4 linked regions of the Mytilus edulis genome follow. The protein of the gene in region 1 purifies or fractionates together with the protein of each later gene. This does not show direct contact. Links are inferred from orthologs where the notes say so. Each region holds a gene or a part of one and is shown in the gene's direction. Other genes may lie near its edges. The genes, in order: nuclear cap-binding protein subunit 1-like, importin subunit alpha-1-like, exportin-1-like and THO complex subunit 4-like.

What was found.
Region 2: the proteins of nuclear cap-binding protein subunit 1-like (region 1) and importin subunit alpha-1-like purify together in Homo sapiens (co-immunoprecipitation; 5 studies listed by BioGRID and IntAct, with this or other methods). This does not show direct contact. The link is inferred for Mytilus edulis from reciprocal best matches to the Homo sapiens genes NCBP1 and KPNA2.
Region 3: the proteins of nuclear cap-binding protein subunit 1-like (region 1) and exportin-1-like purify together in Homo sapiens (affinity purification with western blotting; 3 studies listed by BioGRID and IntAct, with this or other methods). This does not show direct contact. The link is inferred for Mytilus edulis from reciprocal best matches to the Homo sapiens genes NCBP1 and XPO1.
Region 4: the proteins of nuclear cap-binding protein subunit 1-like (region 1) and THO complex subunit 4-like purify together in Homo sapiens (affinity purification with western blotting; 6 studies listed by BioGRID and IntAct, with this or other methods). This does not show direct contact. The link is inferred for Mytilus edulis from reciprocal best matches to the Homo sapiens genes NCBP1 and ALYREF.

The regions. Positions count from the first base shown.
Region 1 is NC_092347.1:28,672,086-28,679,407, reverse strand, and holds the start of nuclear cap-binding protein subunit 1-like, read left to right. Parts: upstream 1-4,309; 5' UTR 4,310-4,416; coding exon 4,417-4,462; intron 4,463-6,012; coding exon 6,013-6,104; intron 6,105-6,656; coding exon 6,657-6,757; intron 6,758-7,322. UniProt on the Homo sapiens protein: Component of the cap-binding complex (CBC), which binds cotranscriptionally to the 5'-cap of pre-mRNAs and is involved in various processes such as pre-mRNA splicing, translation regulation, nonsense-mediated mRNA decay, RNA-mediated gene silencing (RNAi) by microRNAs (miRNAs) and mRNA export.
Region 2 is NC_092353.1:13,692,796-13,700,080, reverse strand, and holds the start of importin subunit alpha-1-like, read left to right. Parts: upstream 1-4,273; 5' UTR 4,274-4,285; intron 4,286-7,285. Other genes in the region: uncharacterized protein, read right to left, coding at 26-185, 626-817.
Region 3 is NC_092346.1:57,078,419-57,086,115, reverse strand, and holds the start of exportin-1-like, read left to right. Parts: upstream 1-4,676; 5' UTR 4,677-4,784; intron 4,785-7,697. UniProt on the Homo sapiens protein: Mediates the nuclear export of cellular proteins (cargos) bearing a leucine-rich nuclear export signal (NES) and of RNAs.
Region 4 is NC_092352.1:25,278,568-25,286,206, reverse strand, and holds the start of THO complex subunit 4-like, read left to right. Parts: upstream 1-4,631; 5' UTR 4,632-4,744; coding exon 4,745-5,005; intron 5,006-6,807; coding exon 6,808-6,972; intron 6,973-7,425; coding exon 7,426-7,573; intron 7,574-7,639. UniProt on the Homo sapiens protein: Functions as an mRNA export adapter; component of the transcription/export (TREX) complex which is thought to couple mRNA transcription, processing and nuclear export, and specifically associates with spliced mRNA and not with unspliced pre-mRNA.

The DNA.
Region 1 (7,322 bases):
GCACTTTTTAGCTCACCTGGCCTAAAAGGCCTCATCACTTGGCGTCTGTTGTCGTTAACTTTTACAAAAATCTTCTCCTCTGAAACTACAGGGCCAAATTTAACCAAACTTGGCCACAATCTTCATTGGGGTATCTAGTTTAAAAAATGTGTCCGGTGACCCGGTCAACCAACCGTGATGGCTGCCGTGGCTAAAAATAGAACATAGGGGTAAAATGTAGATTTTGACTTATAACCCTAAAACTGAAGCATTTAGAGCAAATTTGACAGGAGGTTGAATTGTGAATCAAGTCAAGATCTATCTGCCCTGAGACGAATCAGACAACCGGTTGTTGGGTGATGCCCCTGGATTGTCAATTTTTGAGGAAATTTGCCATGTTTGGTTATCAAAGATATAGATAAACTGTAAAAAGCAATAATGTTCAGCAAAGCCAGATCTACAAATTAGTCATGTGACCAAAATGGTCAGTTGACCCTTAAGGAGTTATTGCCCTTTATAGTCATTTTTTACCAATTTTTAGTAAATTTTTGTTATCTTTTACAAAAATCTTCTCCTCTGATACTACTGTGCCAAATTTAACCATACTTGGCAACAATAAGCATTGTGGTATCTAGTTTAATAAATGTGTGCGGTGACCCAGACAACCAACCAAGATGGCCGCCATGGCTAAAAATAGAACATAGGGGTAAAATGTAGATTTTGGCTTATAACTATGAAACCAAAGCATTTAGAGCAAATCTGACATGTTGTTTTGTTGTTTATCAAGTCAACATCTATCTGCCCTGAAATTTTCAGATGAATTAGACAACCGATTGTTGCGTTGCTGCCCTTCAATTGGTAATTTTTAAGGAAATTTAGCCGTTTTTGGTTAGTATTTTGAATTTTATTATAGATAGAGATAAACTGTAAACAGCAATAATGTTCAGCAAAGTAAGATCTCCAAAGAAGTCAACATGGCCAAAATGGTCAGTTGACCCCTTAAGGAGTTATTAGCAATAACTTTATTTTATTAAACGGTGAATGGATCTCTATGATTTTAAAAGAAGGTTCAATACCACAAAGGAAGGTTGGGATTACTGTATAAGTATTACGATTTCTCTGAAATTGTACCACAATGTTTAATACAACAAGTAGAAGGTTGGGATTCACATAAGGGGTTAGGGGGCTAACAGTTAAGGAAATAATGGCCTAAAAGGGGCCAAAATAACATTTTTTTTCCGGACAATAACTTCTGTGAAAGTGTATTGATCTCTCTGTAATTGTACCACAAGGTTCCATTCACAAAGGGTAGGCTGGGATTGAGTTGGGTGGTAATTGCTCTAATCATGTAGGAATTAGAAGCCAAAAACAAGCATTTTTTTCTTCTAGTTTCCAAACAATTGCTTGTGTTTAAGTGTATGGGATCTCTCTGAAATTGTACTATAAGGTTCCATACCACAAAGGAAAGAATTGGATTGAGTCCTAGAGTATTGCTCCAAGGGTATTCCAAAAGTTGGAGGGGGGATTTTTTTTCATTTTTTTTAAGGAATTCATATTTTTTTTAAACAATTTCAAATTTTGGAAAAGTTTCAATAAGAAATCTTCGATTGCACAATAGATTTGTAAGATCTTTGGCCACATTTATTTTGTTTCAGAAACCTATATTATGTCAAAAAAATTGATCACAATCAAAATTCAGACAGTATCGAGCTTGAATATTTTATCCAATTTGCCACAACTGTTCAGAGTTCGACCTCTGCTGTCGTATCAGGCTGCGCTCACCGAAGCATTTTTTTAAAAAGAAAGTTCAATTCCACAAAGGGTAGGTTGGAGATGACGGTCCAACTTTTTAGGAATTGAGGGTCCAAAACAAGCATTTCTCTTGTTTCAGGCTAATAACTTGTGTAAAGTATTTTGATTGCTCTGAAATTGTACCACAATGTTTAGGGACTTTTTTTTTTATCTGGGAGGGGGGCTGGTCAAAATACAGGGGGGATCAAGTTTTTTTCTGTATGTGGAAAAGGGGGGTTCAATTTTTTTATAAATTCAAAGTGGGGGGTCATTTTTTTAAACATAGAAATCAGCATTTCACATACTTCAAGAGATAAAATTTAAAGATGAACATTACAACAATCAAATCAAAACATATTTTTAACATCATTCATAAAGACTTTAGTGATGTAGGAAGCTGCATAGGTGCTTCATAATCCGAATAATCAAGTCGTTATACATGTATTTCACTCACTTTGATCACTAAATTAACAAGCGTTACTGCCAAGTTTATTTTTAATCAGCTTAATAGTTGGAAAGAAATTTAGTATAAACGAAACGAAATCTACAGCGATTTATGCAATTTTTTTCCCAAAATACAAACCATACAGCATCATGAGTGGAGAAATAAATTCTCCAATAAATTATTAAATATTCATCTACTTTGCATTTGAATATTGATAAGCAAGATGTTTCTGAAATGATGAACACCAGTAAAAAGTAAAATCACAAAAATACTTTGTGTATCTTTTTGTTTTCATTATAAGATCTCTTGGGGTCAATTTTACCTCTAACTTCCTGAAAATGTGTACTTTTAGGCTAATAAATCAAAATTTTAATGGTACTTTCACACATTTATAAATGAAATGTGACAATAAATGAGTAAATAAATTGTTCAAGCTGAAAGCATGAACTATCCATATTTATATAAAAGTTTAGCGACTCAATTGAGATTTCAATAAGACTTTGCGTAAAACTTTAGTTTAAGAAGCGTTCAAGAGAGGGACATATAATGGATTCCTCTCAGTAAAAATGCGTTGTTACTGTTTCAAAAAGTTATTTTTTACAGTTACGTAGGGTCAATAGATTAGCACAAAATACAATGATATAGGAAATTAGAAAAAAGTCAGAAAAACTACTCAGAGCACTGGCTTCTACCTACTTCAGGTACTTATATTTATGGAATTAAGAGGCGTCATGGAAAAACAATATTCCAAGATAATTTTCTCTTAATTATGATTTTGAACTAAATCCACTGAGAACATTTCATTTTCAATATTTTCGTGAAGTGTTTGAAAGGAGAAAATTTTGTTTGATAGTGGGGGGATCGATTTTTTTTAATGATTTTACTGAGGGGATCAAATAAAAATAGTGAAACATTATGGGGGGATCAAAAAAATTCGTATGTTTAATTTCAAATGACAAGACCCCCTCCCAGGTAAAAAATGATAAATAATACCACAAGAAGAAGGTTTGGATTTATTTTGGGGTTATTAGGAATTTTAAAGGGCCAAATACAAGCATATTTTTTTTTGGGGGGGGGGGGGGCTGAGGGGGGTAGGAGGGGTCCTGATCCCGAAATCCCGGCTTAAAACCATGAAAACCCGAGGTCCCGAATTTAAAAAAAAATCCCGGATCCCGAAAGGGTCGATCCCGAAAATCCCAAGATCAAAAACACCCGAAAAATGCCCCCTTGTTATTTAGTTTCCAGACTAATTTTTTTGTCAGTGTTTGGATCTCTCTGACATTGTACCACAAGGTTTCATATCTTAAAAGGAAGATTTTAATTGATTTCGGGGTTGTTTACCCAAACACGCAGGAAAAAGGGTGAAAAACAAGCAAATTTCTAGTCCAGAGAGTAACTTAATTGTGCTTTAGTGTATGGATCTCTCTAAGATTGTAATACAAGGTTCCGTATTACAAAGGAAAAGCTGAAATGAATTTTGGGAGTAATTGCTCCATGGGGGGATTCAAAACGTTGTTTTTATTGAGGGGTTCCGATATTTCAAGTTTTTCAAATTATTTTTTTTCGGAAAGTTTCAAGAAGATATCTTCAATTGCACAATATTGCACAACAAATTTGTAAGATCCTTGACCACGTTTATCTTGTGTCAGACACCTATATATAGATACCGGTATTATGTCAAAAAGGTATCACAAATTGTCAATTTAAGTTTAGACAGTATCAAGCTTGAATAGTGTGTCCAAATTTGCCCCATTGTTCATTGTTCGACCTCTGTGGTCGTATCAGGCTGCGCTCGTCGAAGCATTTGATCTTATATTGTATGCAATAGGTCTACTATATTTTGTTTATGAAATGTTTGTAGGATGTAGATTTATTAATGAATGGGCCACTTTTATTTATACATGTTTTATTCAGTTTGATTTTTTTATAGTCACGCGCATATATTATTATCTTCCTTAAATCAAACTTTTTATTCGCTAAGATATACCGAAATATTCATTTCGGGTTTGAAATTATTGTAAGTTTGAGGTGTATCAAATTGGTCCGATTTATGATGGTTTTATGGTTCACGTAAACTTTTAGTACGTTAGTATCCTCTATTTTTCGGTTCTAAGCTGCAAGGCGGAAGTAAGCGCAAGATCAACTTCCGGGGAAACAAAAAGTAGCGTGAAAATCTTGCGTTTCAAAAATCGACGTTTAAAATGTCAAGTCGTAGACGACACGACTCTTATAGTGACGAAGAAGATGGTGAGTAATATATCTTTCCATTAGTAGTTGTCTTTACGTGCACGAAATAAAACTTACAACAAATACGACCAAATAATGTGTCAGTGAGAGCAGAGCGGTTTTTATTTATATTAAATTATCCAGCCCTGCTTCGCATAAAGAACGGGTTATGGTGCAAATTGAAATTTATTTATCAATTAGAATAAGAATTAGGAAAATTGTTATCTGCACTTTCGGGATTTAATATTGTGAAATCAGATTTATACAGTGCACCTTTTGGTTGAAATGAATGTTTTTAAATACAAACCACTCTGCTCTCAAATTATTTGTTCGTACTTGTTACACCCCCTCCCCCTTTTGCAGCAGAGAGGGCATTAAGTTTTACCCTTGTTCGTCTGTACGTCAGTCCGTCTGTATGTCTGTCCCTCCCAAAGTTGGTTTCTGTTCTCTACCTTTAATTTGCTTCAACCAAATGTTATGAAACTTATACAAAATGCTTATTAACACAAAACAAAGATTAAGTTTGGTGGTGTCACATTTACCTTTGTTGAGTTATGCCCATTTACAAATGAAAAAAATACTGATTTTTTTTGTTTCCGTTCTCTAACTGTAGTTTGCCTCAACCAAATGTTATTAAACATAAACATATATAATGATAAGAATTCCAAAATACAGATCAAGTTTTGCGGTGTCACTTCATCCGTTCTAGATTCATGCTCCTTTACAAATGGAAAAATAGGAATTTGATTTTAACCAACTACAATTACGGACACAGGAAATAACTCCAATTTGCAAAATTTATTTTACCAATTACATCAACTATAACCAATGGCAATGCTTAATATACAATGCAATGTTCATTAAAAAAAATAAAAACAATCTTTACCTTCGGTGCTTACAAGCACTTTGAATAATGTTGTTCAGTTTTGTCCCTTTATAACCTTACATGATATTTTGTTTCCATTCTCTTTCTTAAGTTTGTCTAAACTCAATTGAATGAAATGTTTATATATTTATAATGCTTATTACCACTTATCTCAGTTTAGGTTCAAATTTTGGAAGCATTACTTTTACAGTTTTTGAGTTATGTCCCTTTATAATGTTATATGCTAGCTGGGGCATCATTCTCCATTTATTTTAAATGTTTTTTTGTTAAAATGTAGTGGCTCAAAAATAAGACTACTACACTACAGTGTTCAAGCGAGGATTTCAAAAGGGCAGGGATCCAATCATGAAAAGGGTACTTAAGCATGCTGATTGATAATTCAAAAAGGGCATGCCAAACATTGTATTTTTCCCCCAAATTGAAAGGCTATGAAGAAATACAGAAAATTGCTAATGAAAAGCAATGGCAATCATTATTTGTGGGACAAGATTAATTTGATTGATAATTTACTTTCTGGAAATTAGCTTTCTGAAGTCTGTATCTCAACTTTTATCATCTTTGGTTAAAGCTACTGTACTTTTCAATCTGCAGGTGTACATAGTACTTGCCCATGTTGACAAGTTATGATAAGAGTTCAGAAATTTGTTTTTGTGTAAAAAATAAAGTTATGTGATTTTATGTTTAGGTCCTTCCTCAGTAAGAAAGAGAAGACGAGTATCAGAAAATGTTGACATTGAAGACAGACTTGAATCACTTATAACTAGAGTTGGAGAAAAGGTAAACAAGAATAAAACAAAAAATAAATCAAAAAGCACAATTTAAATCTATTTAAATATTTAAATCATGGTAGATTAATAGAAAGTAATAACTGAGAAATAATTCTTTTCATGCATGTCCTTGATTCATTTTATTTGTAAATATTTACATTGAGTGTTATTCTAATTTGGTTTATTTTCATGAAACTATAGCAGAGGAATAGAATCATGGCGATGTTTATACTAAGTTATAAAATGGATAAGTTAACCATGTAACTACCATAAACATAGAACAGCATAATCATGATAATAGGCCACATCAACATTTGACTCATTCAAAATTCAGTTATACAACTAATAGACAAAAAAACCAATAACACATGGTCCAGGTAGTCAGACTTGGTTCAAATGTAAAATGTGGTGGTGTAATTTGCTTGCAAACTTTACCCAAATGTCTTACGGAAACACACAAAAAAAAACTTCCATGCTCTAGCTAAAATGTTTACTAAACTTAAAACTTTATCATGTTTATAATATTATCTTTTGAATAATATTCAATACTTTTGTCTTGCAGAGTACATCCTCTTTAGAAAGTAACCTTGAAGGCTTAGCTAGTGTCCTGGAGGCAGACTTGCAGAATTACAAGACAAAAATCCTTAAAATTTTAGTAGAATGGTAAGTGATGAAGTTAAGTTTGATCATGTTTGATGCAACTCTGTATAATTGTGTATTTATAAAATTAGATAGATTCCTTGTAAAAAATACTTAAAAATGTAAGTTATTGAAAAGGATCTTGACAAACACAAGCAGAATTCTTTATTAGTAATAAACGATGTGTTTTCACTTACAGGATTCTGTTTGGATAGGAATACAGTGGCGGATCCGGGGGTGCGCACCCCCCCTTTATTTTTGCCGATCAATGCATTTGTATCGGGACATATGTTTTGCACCCCCCCCTTTGCCCTGGGTTACCTGGGTTAGCACCCCCCCTTTCGAAAATTCCTGCATCCGCCCCTGGAATATACCAGTGGGACATTATTATAGAACTAAATTAATGAATGTAAAATATTCATATCTTATAAACATGATAAAGCACCTGATTTCTTAAAGCTCTTCTATAAAAGCTTGCAAAAGCTAACCTTTGATCAACTTGGTTGTTTCATTATGTTTGCTTGGATGTTAGCAAACAATAGGTAGGCGTAGTTTCAATCTGCTTAATATATACATTTTACTTGGATTT
Region 2 (7,285 bases), on another chromosome or scaffold:
AGTGCATTAAACATGTTAAAATAACCTGTAGCTGATGACTTTATTGGTCTGAAATATGTGCCACCAAAACTTCCAGCTTGAAGAACTTCTTTGGGCGTCATATTTGGTCGTAGTTCTGGAACATCTTCAAACACTAGCTCCCCCTTTTTGTTACGAGTTGGTAACTTTGCAGTGAATTCAAAGCTCTGAAAAACATTCATTGTTGAAGATTTATTTACTATATTTACATTTAGGTGTGTGAGAGTAGACATCAGCAAAAAAAAATGGGGGTAAAGAAATTTATCAGCTAATAAAAAAAGTATTACAAACAACATGAACAAACTGAAATGTCAATTTGCCAATCTCTGCATTACAAGCCAAAACAAAGTTTATAATACGTTAAACATTTAAATTCATGGTTCGCCTGTACCCAGGAAAATTTGTATCTAGCGAGTTATAATAAATGCACAGTAGTTCTTTTTTTAAATTTTGATTTTATATATCTTTACCCAACGATGTAAGGCCTATAATGACTGTCATCACATTCTCACTCTACTTCAATGAGAGAATAAATATCAAAAAAGTTTCAGATGGGAAAAATATTGCACATAAAAATAGATAAGAAGAGACATGTACTGATAATTACCTTTTCTACATTTGTAGCTTCATCAATATTTTTGGGATAGTTCTTCTTTTTAGATGAAGATTCTTGTTTGTTTAATGGCTTTTCTTTACTGCTTTTGGGAGTTGTTTTCTTTGATTTACTCTTTGAAGCTGAATCAGGTTCAACTTCTTCTCCAAGTTTCCTTTTTGGCATCTTTGTTAAGCAGTTTATAAACTAAAATGGATTACAGAAATAAACAAATACTAGACATGCATTCTTCTCCATGTTTGAGGCGGACTTGTACTATATACATGTATGTTCTCTTATTTTCAATTGTGGAGTATTTATTCCTGAAATATTTTTTCCTTTTAGTCATGTTTAGTGCTTCTCTACTTTCTCACTATATTACTATAATCCAGTTAGATTATCAAGATTATTGAAATTTAAATGCAGACAAACTGAAAATAACTACTTTGTCTCATAAATAATAATGCTAATTGTTTGTTTTAAATTACCTGAGCAAAGGAGTAGGTCGATAAGGCCTTTAAATGGCCCCCTTTTTAAGTCTAAATATCAAATTGGGATTTATTTACCAATATTACAATGATTAATAGATAATACAGTGACTGTATTTTAGTTTCTTGTGTACAATTTGGAGTATGGTGTTCATTATCACTGAATTAGTATATATATGTATATATTTGTTTAGAGGCCAGCGGAAGGACACCTCTGGGTGCAGGAATTTCTCGCTGCATTGAAGACCTGTTGGTGACCTTCTGCTGTTGTCTGTTCTATGGTCGGGTTGTTGTCTCTTTGACACATTCCCCATTTCCATTCTCAATTTTACTAGATAGAAAATACTTCTTTTAGTCCAGTCAAGGGTCTAACTTAGATAAGTTATTAGAGAGAATAACATACATGTTGTTACATGTATTGTGGGCTAAATTATCAAAAACCTGTGATAACATATGTATGTTACATGTTTCAAAGGGAAAATACAATGTATACAACCTTAATATTTTGTTAATTTTTTCTTAAGTTCTATTGATATTATAATTTTCTTCATGTATACTAATCTTTGCAAAGATATAACAGCTCATAGTTTACCAATCATGCATAGTACACCTATGTTATTACTGAAAATATATTCCTGCAATAACCAAGGGGTGTTATTACAGCTTCTCTATATCTCTTTAAAGGCTTTGCTCTGACATGCATAACAATGTTTTTCAATTCATTGTAAGAAATGATGATCAGAGCTTGTAATGAGGCACTGTTTAAGATTCCAAGTGTCTCATTTACTCTCATATAGTAAGTTACATGCTTGTAATAACTAAGCTTAGTTTACAGATTAAGGAAAAACGAGTAGACAACTCATGAAAGTTTCTGTAATAACATACAATGACATACATGTACAAAATGTACACATGTAGGCATATTATTTTTCTCTGATAACTTATTTAATTAGACCCTTGACTGTAGTCACAGATTTACATTACTGCGTATTATTAATGACGTCAAAAATAGTCAAATGATAGTACTCATTTTGATTTTCCACACAAAAACAATGAAAATGGGTAAATTGCTGTTGAATATTTGGACAGGAAACATATCATGCATATAGCCCATACATTTGTAAAAAAAGATCTTTGACAATAATGTTTGTAATGACTATTACATGTCTAACTTGAATATTTATGTTGTCGACAGCTGCCCTCTATGTTTCCTGATGTTAAATTTGGCTGAATTCCTGCCGATTTTGGCAACTGTACTAAGAAATTTGGATTTCATTCTTAGCCAGTACTATTTAAATCAGAACCTTTCTCAGACATACAATGTATATATATCTTTAAAATATGTTAAAATACATGGGGAATGTGCTCATGGGGCACACATGATCCCTCTTGTATATCATATTAAGTTATAAAGGGACATAACTGATAGACTGTAAAAGTGACACTCCCCAAATGTGTGCTTGATCTGAGTTTTGTGGTAACAAGTATGATGTGTAAACTTCATAAAATTTGGTTAAGGCAAACTTAAGTTAGAGAATGGAAACGAAAAATTCAGCATTTTTTTATAATTTTGTAAAGGAACATAACTCTAGAACAATAAGAGTAAAAACCCTGAATATTCAAACTTGATCTGTATTTTGTGGTTATAAGCAATTGTGTTAAAGTTTCATCACATTTAGTTTAGGCTTATTAATGCTAGAGAATGGAATCGAAAAAATCAGCATTTTTTACATTTGTTAAGGGGCATAACTCTAGGAAGGTTTACATCACCAAAATGCAAACTTGATCTGTAATATGAGGTAACAAGTATCGTATCTATAAGTTTAATATGGGGACGATGTCACCTATTACATTAAATGTATTACACATGTTACAGTAAAAAAATCAAAAAATAAAAATCAGGAAAATTTCCCGAATTTTTCATTTTACTAATGAACTCAAAATCGTTAATTTTTTTTCAGTTTTTTAAATCCCCGCATCTGCACAGAAATCTACTCCCTTTTCCCGTCTTGTTTGCCTGAGACTTTGAATAAAATATATATTAATCAGTCTAGTAAAATATATATAGAAAGGAATTCAATACTACATTGTAATTCACTTTTAAAAATTGTTTGTTATGAAAAAAGGTTACCCTAGCGTTTCATTGTTTACATTGAATATGACGTCATAACTTAAACAACTTCACAACTAAAATCCCTAATAACAAAACCAAAATCGGAAACGTCACTGTACTTCCATTTCTTTTTTTTTTAACATGTTTGAATTAAAAAAATAATTCATACAGACTTCATCCCCTTTACAGGTAATGCCTGCCTCATGTTAGCATTTAATTAAGGCAAATTATAAAAGTTGTAGAACAGAAATAAATTATTTTTAATTTTCACTTCAAAATTTTATTCTGAGTACAGACAAACCTGTGCATCTGTAAAAGTTTTAAGGCATAGCATGCCCTAGATAAATAAATTTCAAATATGTATTATGGTTTAGAAAAATAAAAACTTAACTGGATTTTGCAGTGCACTTTTTTTCATTCCTCGAGAAGGTGCCAAAATAAACTAAGTTGGGAAAGAGGTTTGAGAACTTCCCAACAGGTAATAATTGAAGTGAGCTGTATTGATTGACATGGACAGTAGATACCTAACAATAATTGGTCATTTAAACTGTGTACCTGAGTGGACCATATCAAGGAAAACTCAACTGTTTGTTAATTTTATCATCTTCTGCAGGGACGAAACAAAGTGCACTGCAAATTCCATTTAAATTATGGATTTTCTAAATCATACAATGCATTTGAATTATATTTATCTAGGGCATGCTATGCCTTAAAACTGTTCCAGGTCACAGGTCTGTCTGTACTCGGAGTAAATTTGGGGTGAAAATGCAGCCAAGAACCTTAAGTGACGCCACTAAAATTGAATCTTTATCCGTGTTTGTGGTAGTAAACCATGTGTATTATTTTCATAACATTTGGTTAAGGCAAACCAATTTTTAGATGTAAGTGCAAAAGGGCATACAGCGGACAAGGATTTAAAGCCTGGCAGCACCTAGATACATAGAAGTTGTATTCATTTTCTATTTTAAAATGAAATAAACTTTTGTGGATTTTGCTAACATGGCTAAAAAATTTCATTTCTTTCCACAGGTACATGTAGTGTAAAAATAAACAAAGTCATGTGAAATCTTTGAGATAGTAACCTCAGGTAATGATTGTATTGTATCATATTAATTGAAATGGACAATAGAAATCTACTCACAACAAAGGTGATTTAAATAGTGTAAATGAGTGGACTGTATCAAAGAAAACTCAAGTGTTTGTTTACTTCACCATCTTCGGTGGCAAGAAAATGTTCATCAAAATCTATAAAGTGTTTGAACTTTTTGTCCTGCGACTTTCTGTCCTACATTATGTAGGACAGAAAGTCAATTTCTATATAACTACACCCCCCCCCCCCTTTCCCCCCACTACGGCAACATAAAAAAAAAGAAAACATGGCCATTCCTACATGCATTATTTGTGTTCGTACAAGTGTGTATAGTACCACTCCCCCTCCCCTTGACAGAACAAATGCCTGTCTTTTCATTGAACAAAACAAATTATAGGTATATTGATCCAATATCCACCCGTTTATAGTATGGATCACATTTCCGACCTTACATTGATTACGTGCTACGTGTACAATGTTTCGAGTTCTTTCGGAATTATATTCCAGGTAACTCTCTTCAGAGGTCGTCCGTTTTATTTTTATTTTCTAAATGTTTGTTTATTTATTATTTTGTACATTTTATTTATTATTGTACCTTTTATTTATTTTTGTTCGTTTTATCAGCGTATGGATAACTGGTTTTGGTTATTAGATTTAGTTTAAGATACGTTTCAATATGCATTTTTCATTGTCAACGCACCTTCCTTTGGTTTTAGTGTAACTGTCTAATTAATTTCTATTGGGAGACATTGATTTATTTCAAGTGTTTCTTAACGATTTCCCCAATGTTCCTGTTTCTTTTGAATGCTATTGTAGGTTTTTTATCAAAGAGATTTTTGAACTGTGGGTTGTCTTGAATTAAATGCCAATGTTTTCTTATAATGGTTTGTAAATTTTCCGCATTAGCGTGGTATTGTGTTATGAAAGATATATTATAGTTATCTGTGTTTTTGTTTATGCTTGTTTCTTGGTTTGTTAATTTGTTTAATCTTTCTGTATGGGAAATATTTCTTAATATTTTATTTACAAAAGCGATTTTGTAACCTCTTTGTATTAATTTTTCTGTAAATAAGTTTATTCTTTCATTAAAATTGTCAGGATCAGAGGTATTTCTAAGAATTCGTATTCCTTCACCTTTAATAAAGGATTTAAAACAACTTTTAGCGTGGTTAGAATTTTGGTGTATATATTGGAATTTTTCAGTTGGTTTTGTGAAACATTTAATATCTAAGATATTTTCTTTTTGAAATCTCTGTCCTTTATACGTTTCTAAGTCTAGAAATTTCAAACTTTGTCTGTCAATTTCATAAGTAAATTGCAGTAGGTTGTGGTTTGTGTTTGCTATTTCGAAAAGAAGTTTAACTTCTTCCGTAGTACCTTGAAATAAAATATATCCATCATCTTTCATACGTTTATGAAATAATATTTTGTTTTTGTGTGGAAAGATGTTTAGAATTTTATTTATATGTTGGTATATAGCTATATCTGAGATTTGAGGACTTGCTATATGGCCTTGGCTAGCTCCTATAATTTGCCTATAACATTTTTTGTTAAAGGTAAATTCGTTATTAAGGAGAATTAAGTTTGTTATTTGTAGTAAATAGTCAAAACTGGGTTTTATTATGTTATATTCTAGGTTTTCATATATCCCTGTAACACTGTTTAGAGCGGCAATAATTTCGCTAAATCTTAGATTTGTGTAAAGGGATGTGATATCATAAGTCACCAGTAAAGTATCAGTTTCTATCTTTGATTTTTCGAGTAGACGAAAGGTCGGAAATGTGATCCATACTATAAATGGGTGGATATTGGATCAATATACCTATAATTTATGCAAACTTAATTCTCCTTAATAACGAATTTACCTTTAACAAAAAATGTTATAGGCAAATTATAGGAGCTAGCCAAGGCCATGTAGCAAGTCCTCAAATCTCAGATATAGCTATATACCAACATATAAATAAAATTCTAAACATCTTTCCACACAAAAACAAAATATTATTTCATAAACGTATGAAAGATGATGGATATATTTTATTTCAAGGTACTACGGAAGAAGTTAAACTTCTTTTCGAAATAGCAAACACAAACCACAACCTACTGCAATTTACTTATGAAATTGACAGACAAAGTTTGAAATTTCTAGACTTAGAAACGTATAAAGGACAGAGATTTCAAAAAGAAAATATCTTAGATATTAAATGTTTCACAAAACCAACTGAAAAATTCCAATATATACACCAAAATTCTAACCACGCTAAAAGTTGTTTTAAATCCTTTATTAAAGGTGAAGGAACACGAATTCTTAGAAATACCTCTGATCCTGACAATTTTAATGAAAGAATAAACTTATTTACAGAAAAATTAATACAAAGAGGTTACAAAATCGCTTTTGTAAATAAAATATTAAGAAATATTTCCCATACAGAAAGATTAAACAAATTAACAAACCAAGAAACAAGCATAAACAAAAACACAGATAACTATAATATATCTTTCATAACACAATACCACGCTAATGCGGAAAATTTACAAACCATTATAAGAAAACATTGGCATTTAATTCAAGACAACCCACAGTTCAAAAATCTCTTTGATAAAAAACCTACAATAGCATTCAAAAGAAACAGGAACATTGGGGAAATCGTTAAGAAACACTTGAAATAAATCAATGTCTCCCAATAGAAATTAATTAGACAGTTACACTAAAACCAAAGGAAGGTGCGTTGACAATGAAAAATGCATATTGAAACATATCTTAAACTAAATCTAATAACCAAAACCAGTTATCCATACGCTGATAAAACGAACAATAATAAATAAAAGGTACAATAATAAATAAAATGTACAAAATAATAAACAAACAAACATTTAGAAAATAAAAAGGACGACCTCTGAAGAGAGTTACCTGGAATATAATTCCGAAAGAACTCGAAACATTGTACACGTAGCACGTAATCAATGTAAGGTCGGAAATGTGATCC
Region 3 (7,697 bases), on another chromosome or scaffold:
ATAGGTCAACTATATATTTGGTGTATGGAATGATTGTAAGGTTTATATGTCTGTGTGGCAATCATCCGCTGACCATGACCTCATTGGTCAATCTTAAATTTTCCTGAATAAGTTTGTTTCTTTATACTATATTCAATAGGTCAACCAATCAAAAGCATGTACTGATGGCAAGGTGTACATGTCAGTCTGACAGGGTGTATGGAATGATTGTAAGGTTTATATGTCTGTGTGGCAATCATCCACTAACCATGAACTCATTGGTCAATCTTAAATTTTCCTGAATAAGTTTGTTTCTTTATACTATATTCAATAGGTCAACCAATCAAAAGCATGTACTGATTGCAAGGTGTACATGTAAGTCTGACAGGGTTCATGTGACCCTGATCTCATTTTCATGATTCATTGCTCAATCAATTAAGTTTTCCTGGTTAAGTTTGTTTCGAAGATGTGTAATAGGTCAACTCTATTTAAAGCGTATTTGGTATATGGAATGATTGTATTTCCAGTTTGATTTATACTACAAGCTGGATTTATACAGACTTTCAAGGAAGACCATTAAAGAAAATATAATTCGTTCAAACATCAGGCCAACAATGTAAAGAGCTGTAAATTTTCTTTCGCAACTTGTTTTTCCTCGCCGGAATTCCAACTCATGCTACGAAGATATCGTGGCACCAAATCGCCTTGCACTATGCCTGACGCACTGGACCACAGTGCACTCGACCACCTAGGCTCTAAAATAATAAAGTTTTCGGTGGCCAGATGTTTCCTTTCCTCGTCTGTTTTTATCTGGCGTCATAACACAGTACATGATAATCATATATAAGGCATGAAGATGGAATTTTTGCAGATCAGCTGAATGATCTATCCTGAAGAATCTTACAAACTAATGCAGGATGCAGTCACAAAAATAATTATATTATAAGTACGTCTAAACTAGTGACAACTCTGCGGAAGATTTTATACAACTGATCACCAGCAGTGATGGTGATACAAGGCTGAAAATACATTCTGTATAGATAAATCGTCTAAACATCAGTCCAACAATGATAAATCTGTAATATGCTTTCGCTAAATTTTTGTTCTTGCCTCGCCAGGATTCAAACTTATACTACTGAGATATCTTGGCAACAAATCGCCTTGCACTGTGCCCGACGCTCTAGACCACTCGACCAACTATGCTCTACCATGAATAATAAAGCTTTCGGTGGCCGGGCGTTACCATTCCTCGTCAGTTTTTATCTAGCATCGTAACACAGTACATGATAAATAAGGCATGAAGATGGAATCTTTACAGATCAGCTGAATTATCGTAAAGGATCTTACAAAATAATGCAGGATGCAGTCATAGAAATAAGTATATTACAAGTACGTCTGAACCAGTGGCAACTCTACAACAGATTTATCCATCGGATCACCAGCTGTGATGGTGATACAAGGCTGAAAATACATTTTGCATATATAATTCGTCGAAACACCAACCCAGCAATGTTAGATCTTTTAATTTGCTTTCGCAAATTTGTTTTTCTTCCCTCGCCGGGATTCGAACTCATTCTATCGTGGCACCAAATCGCCGTGCACTGTGCCCGACGCGCTAGAGCACTCGACCACCTGGAGCAAGGATGAAGAACTTATACAACTTTATATGATGTCTTTTCTGTTATACATATAGTGTCATATTGCAACCGTTTGCTTTAATTACTATTTTTTAATACTAGTAATATGATTTATTTTCACGTGTGTTATTGTTCTCATATATCGGAATGTTACAGTCACTATAAATGGTTTATTTGTGTTTCCACGTTTCCACTCGGCTTCTTCTTTTCGAAATATTAAAGAAAATCTAAATTAAAAGTATGATTTCTTCAATTCCACTGAAGCACCAACTTAGCGCATGTGGAATTATGTTGATCAAAGATGAAAACAATCACGAGTCTGATAAACATAAAACTTGCAGCAGGAAGAATTCCATCTATGAAAATTCATAAACAACTTTTAAAACAAAAGTCATTGAAGTTCGGCAGCAGCGTAGATACAATTGACGATAGAAACAATTGAGTGCGAGAGAGATTAAAAGCGGGGTCATTTCACCCTGACCCCGTATTTTACTGTCAGTTAGATAATTTTATCATGACAAATTGTATTCCTCTTTTCAAGAAAGACTATTAAAGAAAAGTGATGCACTGGGACTGATCTGTTTAACTTCCGGTATATGATGGGATCAAAGTAAAATGACAGCAATCCAAAAGTAACCCGTACTATACCTTAAGAAATACATCAGATTTAACAAAAAGTGCAAAGTGTAATGACATTCATGACATCAATCCAAAAGTAACCCGAACTATACCTTAAGAAATACATCAAATTCAACAAAAAGTGCAAAGTATAATGACAGCAATCTAAAGGTAACCCGAACTATACCTGAAGTAATGCATTAGATTCAACAAAAGGTGCAAGTTCAAGGTAATAGTAAAATGTCTTTCAAATTATCTTTATATCGGAGAATTTTCAAAAGAAGACATGATGAGAAACAACAACTTGAAACATTTATTCATTTAGACACATGGTAAACTGTGGACGCTTTCCCCTTTTACTAGATTTATAAAAAAAAAACTGTGATACTGCAATTTATAATCTCTACCCAATTCGAGTTTCAGAGCTAAGCCTCGTAATTAAGGATAGATTTAAAAAATTTAATCACAGAAACAGACATGAAAAAATCTGGCCAATATTATACAGAAACAAAAGTGTTCTAACGTCCTGAGTTAAGGAATGCTATGTCACGGTTCGAAACGACAGTCAATAATCATTACAAAATGTTATTATTAAACCTTATAGTGATCTTGGGTAAATTGCATTCAACTCGTCCGTTTGTATGTCTCAGGGGCGGGGTTCCCAACCAGGGACAAAGGGTCCCGGGTTCCAACTATATGTGCCTATTCAAATGCATTGATCGTCAAAAAAAAGGGGGGTTCCAACCCCCGGAACCCTCCCCCTGGATCCGCCAATGTGTCTGTCCGTTCGTCTATTATATACAATTCTAAAGAAAATGAGACAGAACACAGGAACTGTTGAGAAACAGAAAACTTCACAACACAAATAAGTGCTTCATCATCAGAGCTTCCCAGTTGGGAAAAGGGGTGTCGCCTCAGATCAGAGTGCTGCTCTAAACGTGTTGGGACATTTTCTGCGACCCACAGACCTGCCATCAGAATAGAAGGGCATCAAATTAAACTTGTGTTATCTTAATATCGGAAAGCAAGAACACATTAAATCATTGAAGTGAAAATTGGTAAGAATATTTACTAACAAGAACTATCTTTAAAAAAAGATATCCGACGTATTTAAATTTGAGTATATGTTTAAAACTATCATTTTGATAACCCTCAGAAGCACAAAGATACCATTTAAATAACGTTTTCTCTGTTTGTGTTTAGTATTCTCAGTCATCGTATCTTTCTGTTTACATTCACCATGTTCACCAAAACCCCGCGGAAATCTCACATGCGTAGGTGCGTTCTAAAAGTCATGCCGGTACGTTCGTACAACAAAGTTTACATTAAAAATTATATAATTGTCCCGAATAAACAGCTGTCACGGATGGAAAGAGCTATTTGAGAAACAATTATTTTAATAAAAATATAAATCTTTGTAAGATCTAGTTCAAATATTTACAGTTTTTCACTTGCTTTCCATCACGATATAATTAACGAGACGTTTTTTCAAAAACAACCAAATCACCCACCATGACAGCATTTTGTCCAATCACAAAAAGGATTTTCGAGCATGCGTATTCTGTTGCCACAGTTAAGCGTCCTTAAGTTCAAAGGACACACACCGAAACTATACCGACTACGTCGGAAAAAAGCAAGACAAATATTTAGAAAAAGAGTACATTTCAGAATGACAGTCGTCTGTTAATTCTGATTCAAAAGTAGTTGCTCGGATAGAAAAAAAAACGCTACTGTTATACTGTACATTCTACTTTTTGACACTGTTTTAAAACAATTATATCTTTAATACCGTGATGAAGTCTATGATATTATCAAGTTAAAAGTCAGTAATAATCTCATTTATTTTTTTATATTTCAACAAATTTGTAGTACTTGATTGTCCATTATAAGTCTTACTAGAATTTACAAATCTGTCTCAAATATGATCGAAACTTGGCTTAGATAAAAGAACTGAGACAGCAATCGTCAGTCTAGCTTTTTACAAAAGCTATTACTTGCATTTTGATTGAGTGACCGATTTTTGAAATCGAAAGTAAAAGTAGGTCAAATATTGCGTTTGGGAAACTATATTTGATTGGATAAATGATAAAAATTTTCCATTTGAAAATATCACCGTATTTTGCCCAAAAGTGGGAACAAGAAATTTCTTTTATAGTTATCAACTGTCTAAATGTTTTAAATATATATCTATCGACTTTCAAAAATGTGTTATTTCTTAATTAAAAGTAAAATGTATTTTATCCCTGCGAGAGTACAAACCAATCAAAAAGTTGCTAACAAAATATGTGTTTACGTTAATTAATGAGTTAATGAAGTTTTTACTTTGCAACTAAAAATTTATTTAGTCATAATTATTTCTTATATACTATTGAATAATTGCCAGTTTACTATTATTTCGTTATTTTTATCGAAATATTTGTCTAAACTTAAATTACGGATTTTACCGAGAACCAATCTGAATGGCGGTTCTTTGCCAGTTTCAACCGGTTAGTCAATTTTTGATGCTTTCTCACAAGAAGTTGGGTTTGGCCAGAAGAAGAATTAGAAGAGGTAAAATTGGTTTTTAGGGGAAGTTTTTGTATTTCGTTGTTTCATTGTCATGTTCTGAACATTGTCATAGTTTCGTTAAACACGTTTGAAATTTCTCTCATGGAGGCAGCCATATTTGAAGATACAAACAAAAACAAACGGAAGCCTGCTTAGTCATGTGATTCGGGACGTAAAATTCAAACTGTTCAGCGGCAGTGTGGTGGAAAATTCCACTATCATTATGCTCATAAAATTAAGTTAAATGATAATTTTCGTGATTAAAAGTTAATTTCTGAAAATAAAGAAATGATATTATTCAAATTGTTTTCTTATTAGCATAGTTTTTCTTCATCCAAAAAGTTTTCTATTTATGCCTATGGACATGGGTCATTTTCAAAAAATGTCGAATTTTCAGTACACCCATGCTAATTTTTTTTATTTCTAATGGAAATTTCGGTTGAAATGGCTCTAATGAAAGCTTGACGGGTTTGTGATTCAGATCATTAATAATAAACACACCTTACATCTATTTTGATAAGATTAAACTGCATTTAAGTCCGATTTTGGGGGTATTTGTGTGCGTACAGTGTCGGAAAACCACATTTTAAATGATTTATTTCTGATTTTCTGATCGCCTTGATAATTGCAAAAGGAACTTTTAAAGAACGTTAATTATCACTCTAACGAAAAAATAGTAGCTTCTTTATCATTGTATGTAACATATTATCCACAAACTAAATTCAATCAGCATACAGGAGGTTCATGTCTATCCTGTTACCGCTACTTAAATCAGTCAATAAATTATTCTCCCTATGAATATTGAATCAGTCGGTGTTGATTTCAAAAGTGCAAAGTAATCTTTACATTTAAATAGCCTCGTTTCGTGAACGACAGTGTAGAGAAAAGATATTTCAAGACATTTAGTGAAAAAAAAAGAGAACTTTTTTTCATGTCTATGCTGTTACCAACAATTTTGATTAACTACACCAAAAGTATGCTTTTAAAAAGTGCAATAATGTGTTGGTAACCAAATTCACAATAGAAAACCATAATCACTTCACTAAAGGGAGTAGTCATTTCACAACAGCAATCAAAAACGAAGAAATTTGTCTATCCTGTTACTGTGGTTGCTATGGTTACAGTAACAGGATAGACAAAACGTCGTTATTTTTTTATCTTAACATATACATGATATAGGTGCAAAACAAAAGAAATATTTCGTTGTTTGAACTCATCTTAAGTTTATAAAGACGTCTTTATCTTCCCAATTAAGCATTTGCAGGTGCAATATTTATATGGTTAACAGGATAGACCTTTATATAGTGATATATCAGAAACGTACGTTCCTGTTACCAATGAAATAAAGAGAAAAGTAAACTTACTTATGAGGAATTTACCTGATGTTGGGTTTATTTAAAAGAGTGAAAAAATGCTGAACAATATAAATTGCTATCTTAGACTTGCATTACTGGTGGTAATTTTTACAACCTTTGAAAACCAATTTTTAGAGGTATTTTTCAGTACAACCTGGAAAATTGGCAAATAATCTATTATTTTACAGCAGTGGCTGATCCAGGGGGGGGGGTTCCGGGGGTGCACACCCCCCCTTTAGTTTTGCCGATCAATGCATTTGTATCGGGACATATGTTTTGCACCCCCCCTTTGCCCTGGGTGCCCTGGGTTAGCACCCCCCCCCCCCCCCCCCCTTTCGAAAATTCCTGCATCCCCCCCTGTTACAGAATGAATATATATATATAGAAGTTTATTCTCTTGAAAACCATCTAATTGGCTACATAAAACAAGCTTAACATTTTATCTAAACCTTTTCTTAATAACCTAAAATTTCTTTTGAAAATTGTAACAGGATAGACAAAATATTGTACCACCGATCACAAATGTTTCAAGATATTCTTGTTTGACATTAAGATTGCATCTTTTAATATGTTGTTCTTAAAGTACTGTTTGTTTTGATTTGCTTATGTAGTGGGTTGTTTTTAAAAATAACTTCAATGTACAATGTATTAATAAATTTTTCAATTTCAAAATTCATCATTTTTTGAAAATGACCCACGTAAGTACAGGGTTTTTCATAGCTTTTTCTTTCAATCCCTCTTGGGATAATCCATTCATCATCAACAGTCACGTCTCAGTCATTACAGCTGAACAGACGTGCTGGGCCAGCTCTCCTTTACCTGCTATCTTCGATGAGGGTTTACTTTTAGATGATCAACGACTTACTACTTTATTAAATTAGAGAAATTAGATATAATCCTAATAAACTTAATCATCCTTAGAATGAATTGTTCCTATTGTTTTCTGCTTCACGCTCACAGGCTGATTCATTAAAAGAATGATGACTGCCACAGGCTGAATTTCTGCTGAGTTTTTATAAAAACATAAATTTTCTGCTTATGTGAACTACAGGAGTGGCTACGCAGACAAGAACTTGGCCATATTTAAACATCACATAATACATGCAAGGCCAAAGTGGAATTACTCTCTGGATGTCATGTTTTGTTAGCGCTCTCACATGTACCATTCATGCCAACTTTTTATGAAACTTATATCTTGGGTTCAAATTAGCAATTTATGCCCCTAAAAATGTTTATTCTGTAGAAAATATAAATGTTATCACTCTAATGTGTTTGTTCAATTCTTGCCAGAAATTTCAAAGTTTAAATCAGAAATGTATTTGTAAATACATTTCGGATCAAATGTTTTTACTGAGTGATGCCCCTTGGAAATCTAAGTTTGTTTGCTCTGAAGCCTAAGTTTTACAGAATAATGAAAGTGCTTTTTGTTGTTTTTGCCCTGGTACCTAGGATAGATAAAATATGTACAACAGTGATATAGGAACAAGTGTTCTTTTATTCCACTGGAAAAATTAATCCATATAAACTGAACACTGTTTACACTTTGAATACAGAGACTGAG
Region 4 (7,639 bases), on another chromosome or scaffold:
TAACGTGTGAAATTTAGACCTATCAAAATGAGCAAGTCTTCAGTACTGTTACCATTAAGAAACTACTTCCATTAATCCTACAAAAACAGACACCAACAATAACAACTTAGGTTTAAATGTGTTTTATGAATTTATTTCCAACAAGGGACGTAACACCACTACTGACCGTGTATGAAATAAGCCCCGCCTCCCTTCTTACCTAATATGGAATATAAAGGGACGTAACACTACTACTAACTGTGTATGAAAAAAGCCCCGCCTCCCTATTAACCTAATATGAAATATACACGGTCTCCACGCGGACGCTTTTAATCAATCATCTTCCTTGAAATGAATAGGAGGTAAGATAAAATTTTATACATGATTCAGACAATACAATACAGTTCAATATAATATAATAATAAGTATGATGTATGATAAGTGGTGATGTGAATGGTTGTATTCACATCATATGGTGGTAATTTACACAACTAGAAACCTCTGATTTTTAGTTTTAAGTCCCCAACGGAACACAATGACAACATAAGTTACAAAATGCATTCACATTCGTAACATATAAATAAGGTGCTAGAGTAATCAACTAAATAAATTGCATTTTTCGTATCACACTTAAAGGAAGGTGGGGTTCATTCAATTCTGTATTCTTTAAAATTCGTTATGGCCCTTTTCTCTATTCTTTATATTATATGGTTTGTCCCTTATTCTCTCGGTGTTCTTTAAATTTTAGCACTCCAATATTCACTATTCTTTATATTTTAGCACTCTATTATTCTCTTTTCTGTTGTTTTTTTTGGGCGATTTTCTCTTTAATCTTTTTATTTGTTTGGCCTTTATTCTGCACTTTTTACCCATTATTCTCAATTCACACCTTATTATAGGTGTGTGAAATGAAATATATCGCTGTTTGCAATGAATAGTTAACAGGCTGACCACAACTATAAGAGAAACTGTGGCTTTTTCAACATCACATTCGTATCAACCCGTGACAACAAATGAATATATATAATCCCAAGAACTATGATTGTTGGATTATATTGTCACACTCGGCGAAAAGGGGACGGGATTGTAGTAACACCATTTAGAATTAACATATATCCACTATCATATGTGAAACGGATATATTCCATGACGGTTAACCAACTCATGATGTCATCCGTAAAACGTAAGAATTATTTCAACCAGTTATCTGTTTATCTACATCTATACATCTACATCTTGCAGCTCTGTCGTCACTCGAAAAAGGCTCTTCGACCCATCACACAAGTATCAAGTTAAGTTTGACGTCTTCCTACATGACGAAAAAATTGTATATGATATTTAATATACAATAGTTCCAAATTGTGCTCAAAATTATGTACAGGTGCTGGTTATAAATATCATCTATCTTTTGTTGGTGTTGGTTAGCCATTACAGAGAAGCTTGGTGAGTTTGGACTATAATTCCCCACTGCATGCTCTCAATCTCTAGTAAAGTTAGACTTGTAGTTTATTCCAGTCTCTGGTGGCCCAGGGAAGAAAGCTGTACATGTAAATATCGATCTATTTGATCTGATTTGTACGTATCTTTTAATATCTCGAAGTTCTTCTTGGTTTTAAAATGGGATGGCATAGGTACAATAACCTTTTCACGGATGGCTTTATGAAAGAGCGTTGTACGTGCTATAATTCTTCTTCTGGTTTCTAGTGGTTTCGGGTTCAATTCTAAAAGTGTTGTAACTGTTCCAGGCTCTCTTGAGTAGCTGCAAGCGTATTAAAGGTGATGTCGGACAAGAGCAAGATAGGCTTGTTTCTTGACTTCCTCTGGACATGACCCAACCTTTCTTCGTATGAAGCCTAGTACTCTGTTTCCGTTATTGACATCTTTTCCCCATGCATGACATTGTGTTGGTAAGTTTAGCTCCAAGGTATTGGTTTGATGCGCCTGATCATGCCAAGAACATGTCAATTGATGTTGAGGTTGAAATGGATGTTTTTCTCTTTTTGGTAATTGTAATGACATAACATTTTGAGAGATCATTTGGTCCACTTTACCATTTTGTCAAGATCTTCTTGTAATTTTTTACAGTCGTCCTTTGATGATATCGCTAGGTACGTTAATTTATCGTCTTCGAATAGGCGAATCTTTAATGTTATTTCGTTTTGCTATGTCGTTTATGTATAGGAGAAATCATCAGTGGTCCTTAAACTGTTTCCTGTGGTACGCCGGGTGTTACTTTAGTAGTACTTGAACTTTCCCCTTCCAGTGTGACTTGTTGTTCTCTTTGTGTCAACCATGCTTCTATAACCAGGTATGTTTCCCCTGGCCTTGATACCATTTGATGCAAGGTTGCCAGTTATGTCCTCTGCTGTAATTACTGGTTGCGACTCAAGCAATCTTTTGCTTCTGAAGCCACGTTGGAATTGCACAAGTATATTATGCTTGTCAAGATGGTTCATCATGATGTGGTTGAATATGACATGTTCCATTACTTTACATGGAACTGACGTCAATGATACTCTTATTCCCTTTATTGAAAAGTGCAGTGACATTTGCAACTATAGGCAGTCCTGTGGTACACTATGATCTTTTAATGTTTTGGTGAAGATAAGCTGTAAATATTTTGATATTGACTCTGCACACTCTTTCAATATTCTGTATGATATGTTGTCTGGACCAGTTGCCATGCTTTGGTATACTCCCTTAAGTAGTTTGGTTAAGACCTCGAGATCTGTACTGATGTGTAGATTTGGTATTTCTGGTGTTTCATTTTCAGTTATGATTTCAGTCTTCCATTATAAATACTGATTGAAATTGTACATGCAGTTTTTCTATCTTTCCTTTGCCATGTTTGCTGCTGTCTATTGTTCCTCCCGTAACTTTGAGTGTTGATACTCCCATTGTTTCTCTCTTACACTTGGAACTTTAATAGCTTCCTTGTGAAATTGATGATTTATGCATTACATAGCACTTTAGCAGTACCTCTTTCGGATAGTTTTTCTATTGCTACAAATTTCAAAAATAATAAGGACCTACTGTATACTTTTTTTCAAAAAATATTTAATTTGAAGAAGAAAAAACATTGTCTAGTTAAATAATATTAATTAAGTGTAAATTCAAACTTTTGTAAAACTAATATTTTTTACATCTAACTTTAATTGATACTTCTACCATTTAATAAGCATACATATATATTACAATAATATTGTCAGTTTGATTTATTTTTTTGCAGCTATTGCAGTTATGTTCGTATACAAGTATAGTCATTGAAAAACCTAACAAAGATATTTAGAGATTAAAGTTTTAGAAATGAGTTGATTGACTGATAATTGACACCTGTCACTAAAAAAACACCAGAGGCGTATATATGTCTTTGAAAACACTAATTAGTTTGTATAACACTCAATTCCTTTTTTTTTTTATGACAAGTGAATTTGTAATTTTAAAGTAATTGAATTACATTTAGATTAGATTAAATTAACAATATGATAAAAAAAAAAACAAACTTATACGGTAATGGTAGATTAGAATCCTGAAAAAAACACAGAGATAAAAACTTCGAAATATAAAAAGTCTGACCGGCAGAGGAACAACCTTAACTTGCATTTCTATACTCTAGTCTATATATCAGTTATACGCCATATATACAATACAATAAAGAGCTTTGATAAAAGAACAAAACTATTGTTTTGTCCTAATAATTAACATAAACAATTAATTTTATGCATTGATTTGTATAGATTGCAATACTATATGCACACACATAGTACATTACAATATTTTTTGGTGTATTTCCCCCGGCTTTAACATCTTAAAAAAGGTATATCATTATAAGGATTATATATATTGTATATTTGTGTCTGTTATTTGGTTTGTAATCTGTTATTTATTGGATTTTCTTTCTCTGTATTCTCTTTGGTAAACGGACAGAAAGTCACAGGACAAAAAGTCACAGGACATAAAGTCACAAATTAGGTAGGACAAATAGTCACAGGACAAAAAGTCACAAATAATTTGCTGACAATTGCTTGGATATATAAGAGAATATTTTGAAATATGCATACTAAAGTTGAGGAAATGTGTCATTATACTTGAAAAATGAAGATTTATTTAATTTTAATCATGCAAAAGATATATTTCTTGGCACCATGAAGCCATTTAAGTGCAAAGCAACGTTGACAATATGTTTTTTTTAACAATTATTTGATCATCTTAAATGAAAAATTTTGTTTACAAAGTTGGTTTATATACAATAGTTCAAGAAAAATACAAAAATATTTTTGTAGAAATAAGGGTTTTTTATTCAAAGAAAATATGAATTGTAACTTTTTGTCCTGTGACTTTTTGTCCGTGACTTTTTGTCTGTGACTTTTTGTCCTGTGACTTTCTGTCCTACATTCTAATCTTTATGCCCCTCGGGGTCCAACATTGGCTCATAAAATTTATATAATCTAATTCTTTTTTTTTTTTTTTTATCTTTTACAGTACATATACGCCATATTTACAAGAAAAAGACTAGGCATTCTTCGAGTTTTTTGTTGGGCGTAAGGCATAGTACATTTTAACATAAGATTCATGTGCCCCTGTGATCGAGGCAAGATCCAACCCGCACTTATTTTTTTTCAAAAGCAAGGGGAGACAATCTTATTATAAAATTCCCTATCCCATCGTGCACCACTCGTATGCCGCCATTTTCACTAAACAGAGAACACGAGAACACCAACAAAGCCGGTAGATATTGATTGAACAACGTATTTCTACAAAGGTTATGACAATGGGAGACAAAATGGACATGAGTTTAGATGATATAATCAAGTCAACCAAAAAAGGAGGTCGTGGTAGAGGAGGCGGTCAAAGGAGGGGACGCGGTTCCGGCGGCGGTGGTGCCGGTGGTGCAACAAGAGGTAGACGCGGGGGAGGAGGCTTTGGGGGCCGACAGAATCGAGGCGGCGGTGGAGGAGGAGTGTTTCGTGGCGGCATTCAGAAAAGAAGAACCAGTGGTGGTGGAGGAAGACAAAGCTTTTCCCGGGTAAACTTCAAAAATGATGTCGACATCAGACCAGTCTTTGTTTTTGTTGTGTACATAATTTCATTTCATTATTTTGTCTATTTCTTAATATAATTTGTGGATGCTAGGCCTTAAAACTTTTGCAACTGCACAGGTTATCATTACTTAAGAGTAGTTTTTGTCCAATTCACTAATTTTTTATGCCCCACCTACGATAGTAGAGGGGCATTATGTTTTCTGGTCTGTGCGTCCGTCCGTTCGTTCGTCCGTCTGTCCCGCTTCAGGTTAAAGTTTTTGGTCGAGGTAGTTTTTGATGAAGTTGAAGTCCAATCGACTTCAAACTTGGTACACATGTTCCCTATGATATGATCTTTCTAATTTTAATGCCAAATTAGAGATTTTACCCCACTTTCACGGTCCACTGAACATAGAAAATGATAGTGCGAGTGGGGCATTCGTGTACTGAGGACACATTCTTGTTTATGATTATTATCAACATGCTCATTAATTTGAGGAATATAAATACACCTTATCGTTAAGCCTGGCTGACATGAAAATCTGTCCCATTTGAACTATGGCTTCATACAAAAATGAAAATCACTTAAATTCCATTGTGGCGTCAGATATTTGTATTGTTTCAAAATTTTACAGGAACCTGTGTGATGTCCAGTTTTGAGTAATGGCGGATAAATAGCCATAATAAGGTGTATTATAAACCATCTTATCGCTATTTTGTGCATTTTTGTTTGATCTTTTTATGTGATAATTTTTCATATCATGCTACTCGCCTGAGATGGAAAATTATCGCTAGAAATAAAGGAGGCATGTGGCGTTGCTAATGAAATTGAAAACGTTGTCATAGGTAAAATAGCGATAAACAGATCATCATTGGTCATCTCAACTCGATTGCTTTTTTTGCTTTCGTCTTTTCGGCTCAAGCGAGAAAATCAATCTTGTTGAGATAATCAACAATAATCTATAAATATATGTAGTATTATTTTTTGTTAGATCACAGACAATTGTGTTCTGTGAATGGGGGATTTACTATCTATACTTGTACAAAGTTCATGAAACATGTTATATTGTTGTAAAGATAAATAAATTACCAGCAGATTGATGTGTGTACATGTTTAATCATGGGAAATGCAAGGGAATGTTAGAAAATATAGGTTGAATTAAACACTTTTTGTTAGCTACATGTACCTTGTGATTTTTCATACTACATATGATATATCTGTTATTTATTTCATGATCAGTCTTCAGGCTCAACCATATATGTAGGCTCACCAGCCTAGGCTTGTAAAAATGCTGTCTTGCCTGTCAAAAATATCTCTACACGCCAATAGAATATAGCTAAAAATTTTATAAGACTCAGCTTCAGGCCTGTAGATTTAAAATATTGACGTGAAGACTGCTTGTTCTGAAAAAGTATGCACAAATACACAATGTTCTAAAATTATTTCATGGTTTTCTACATTTACAATTGTATATATTGTATATATAATTTACATGATAAATTGTGAATTGATGAATTAAAGACTAAGTTGCCAGACACAATAACTATGATTTTGACATCAAGTTCTGGACTCTATATATTATTTGTTTATCATGTTGATAGGACTGTTGAATATTTGTCTAATAACCAGCATATTTGCCTGAAATTGTATAAAAAAAACCCACTTTTTTGCTGACTTTTTGACAGCCTTTTGTATCTGTTTATACATGCTGATGCCAGTTAAGTTAAACAAGTAATCTAGAATGTAACACCATGAAACGTGATTGATGCATAAAAATTAATAGGATTTGTTTTTCCATTTGTTTAGTCTAAAGACACACCAGATGATGTATGGAAGCATGATATGTTTGACGGAGATGTTGGTACAATGAAGAGGGGTAGAGGAGGAGGAGCTGCTGTTGGGGGTGGTGGCAGCACAAGTAAACTACATATATCCAATTTAGACTTTGGGGTCAATGATTCTGATATACAGGTACTTCAATTTAATAAGATTTTCATGTTGTTCCTAGTTCTTTTGCTTTTATGTAGGAGTTTGAAATATAGGAAAAGAAACATTTAATACATACATGTACAAAATGCAGATAGTCTTGTTATCTTGTATTCTTAATTTTCAAAACATGCAGATATTTGAATAAAATCTTACCAGTGAGGAATTACATTTGTATTTTATATTTCAATGTATTAATACAAGTTTTAAGATTACACGAATATGTATTTTAAACAAAATCATTATAAATATTACTAAATTAAAGGTGGCATAGTTTTGTTCATAAAATCTTAAGACATGAAGAAAAACAAAATGATAGACATATTACCTTGAATCATATAATAGATGTTTTAACAAAAGAACCAGTTAGAAAATATGATCATAACTGCTCAATTTGAGTACATTTAAGCATGCTTGCATTTTAATTTTTTTCTTCAGGAACTGTTTGCAGAATTTGGTCCATTGAAGAAGGCAGCTATACACTATGACAGATCTGGAAGATCTTTAGGCACAGCAGAAGTGATATATGAGAGAAATTCAGATGCTGCAAAAGCCATGAAACAATATAATAATGTTCCTTTAGATGGTAATAGTCAATGAATATATACATGTTGTTACATAACATCTTTTTATCTGGTATCAAATAGTTAGG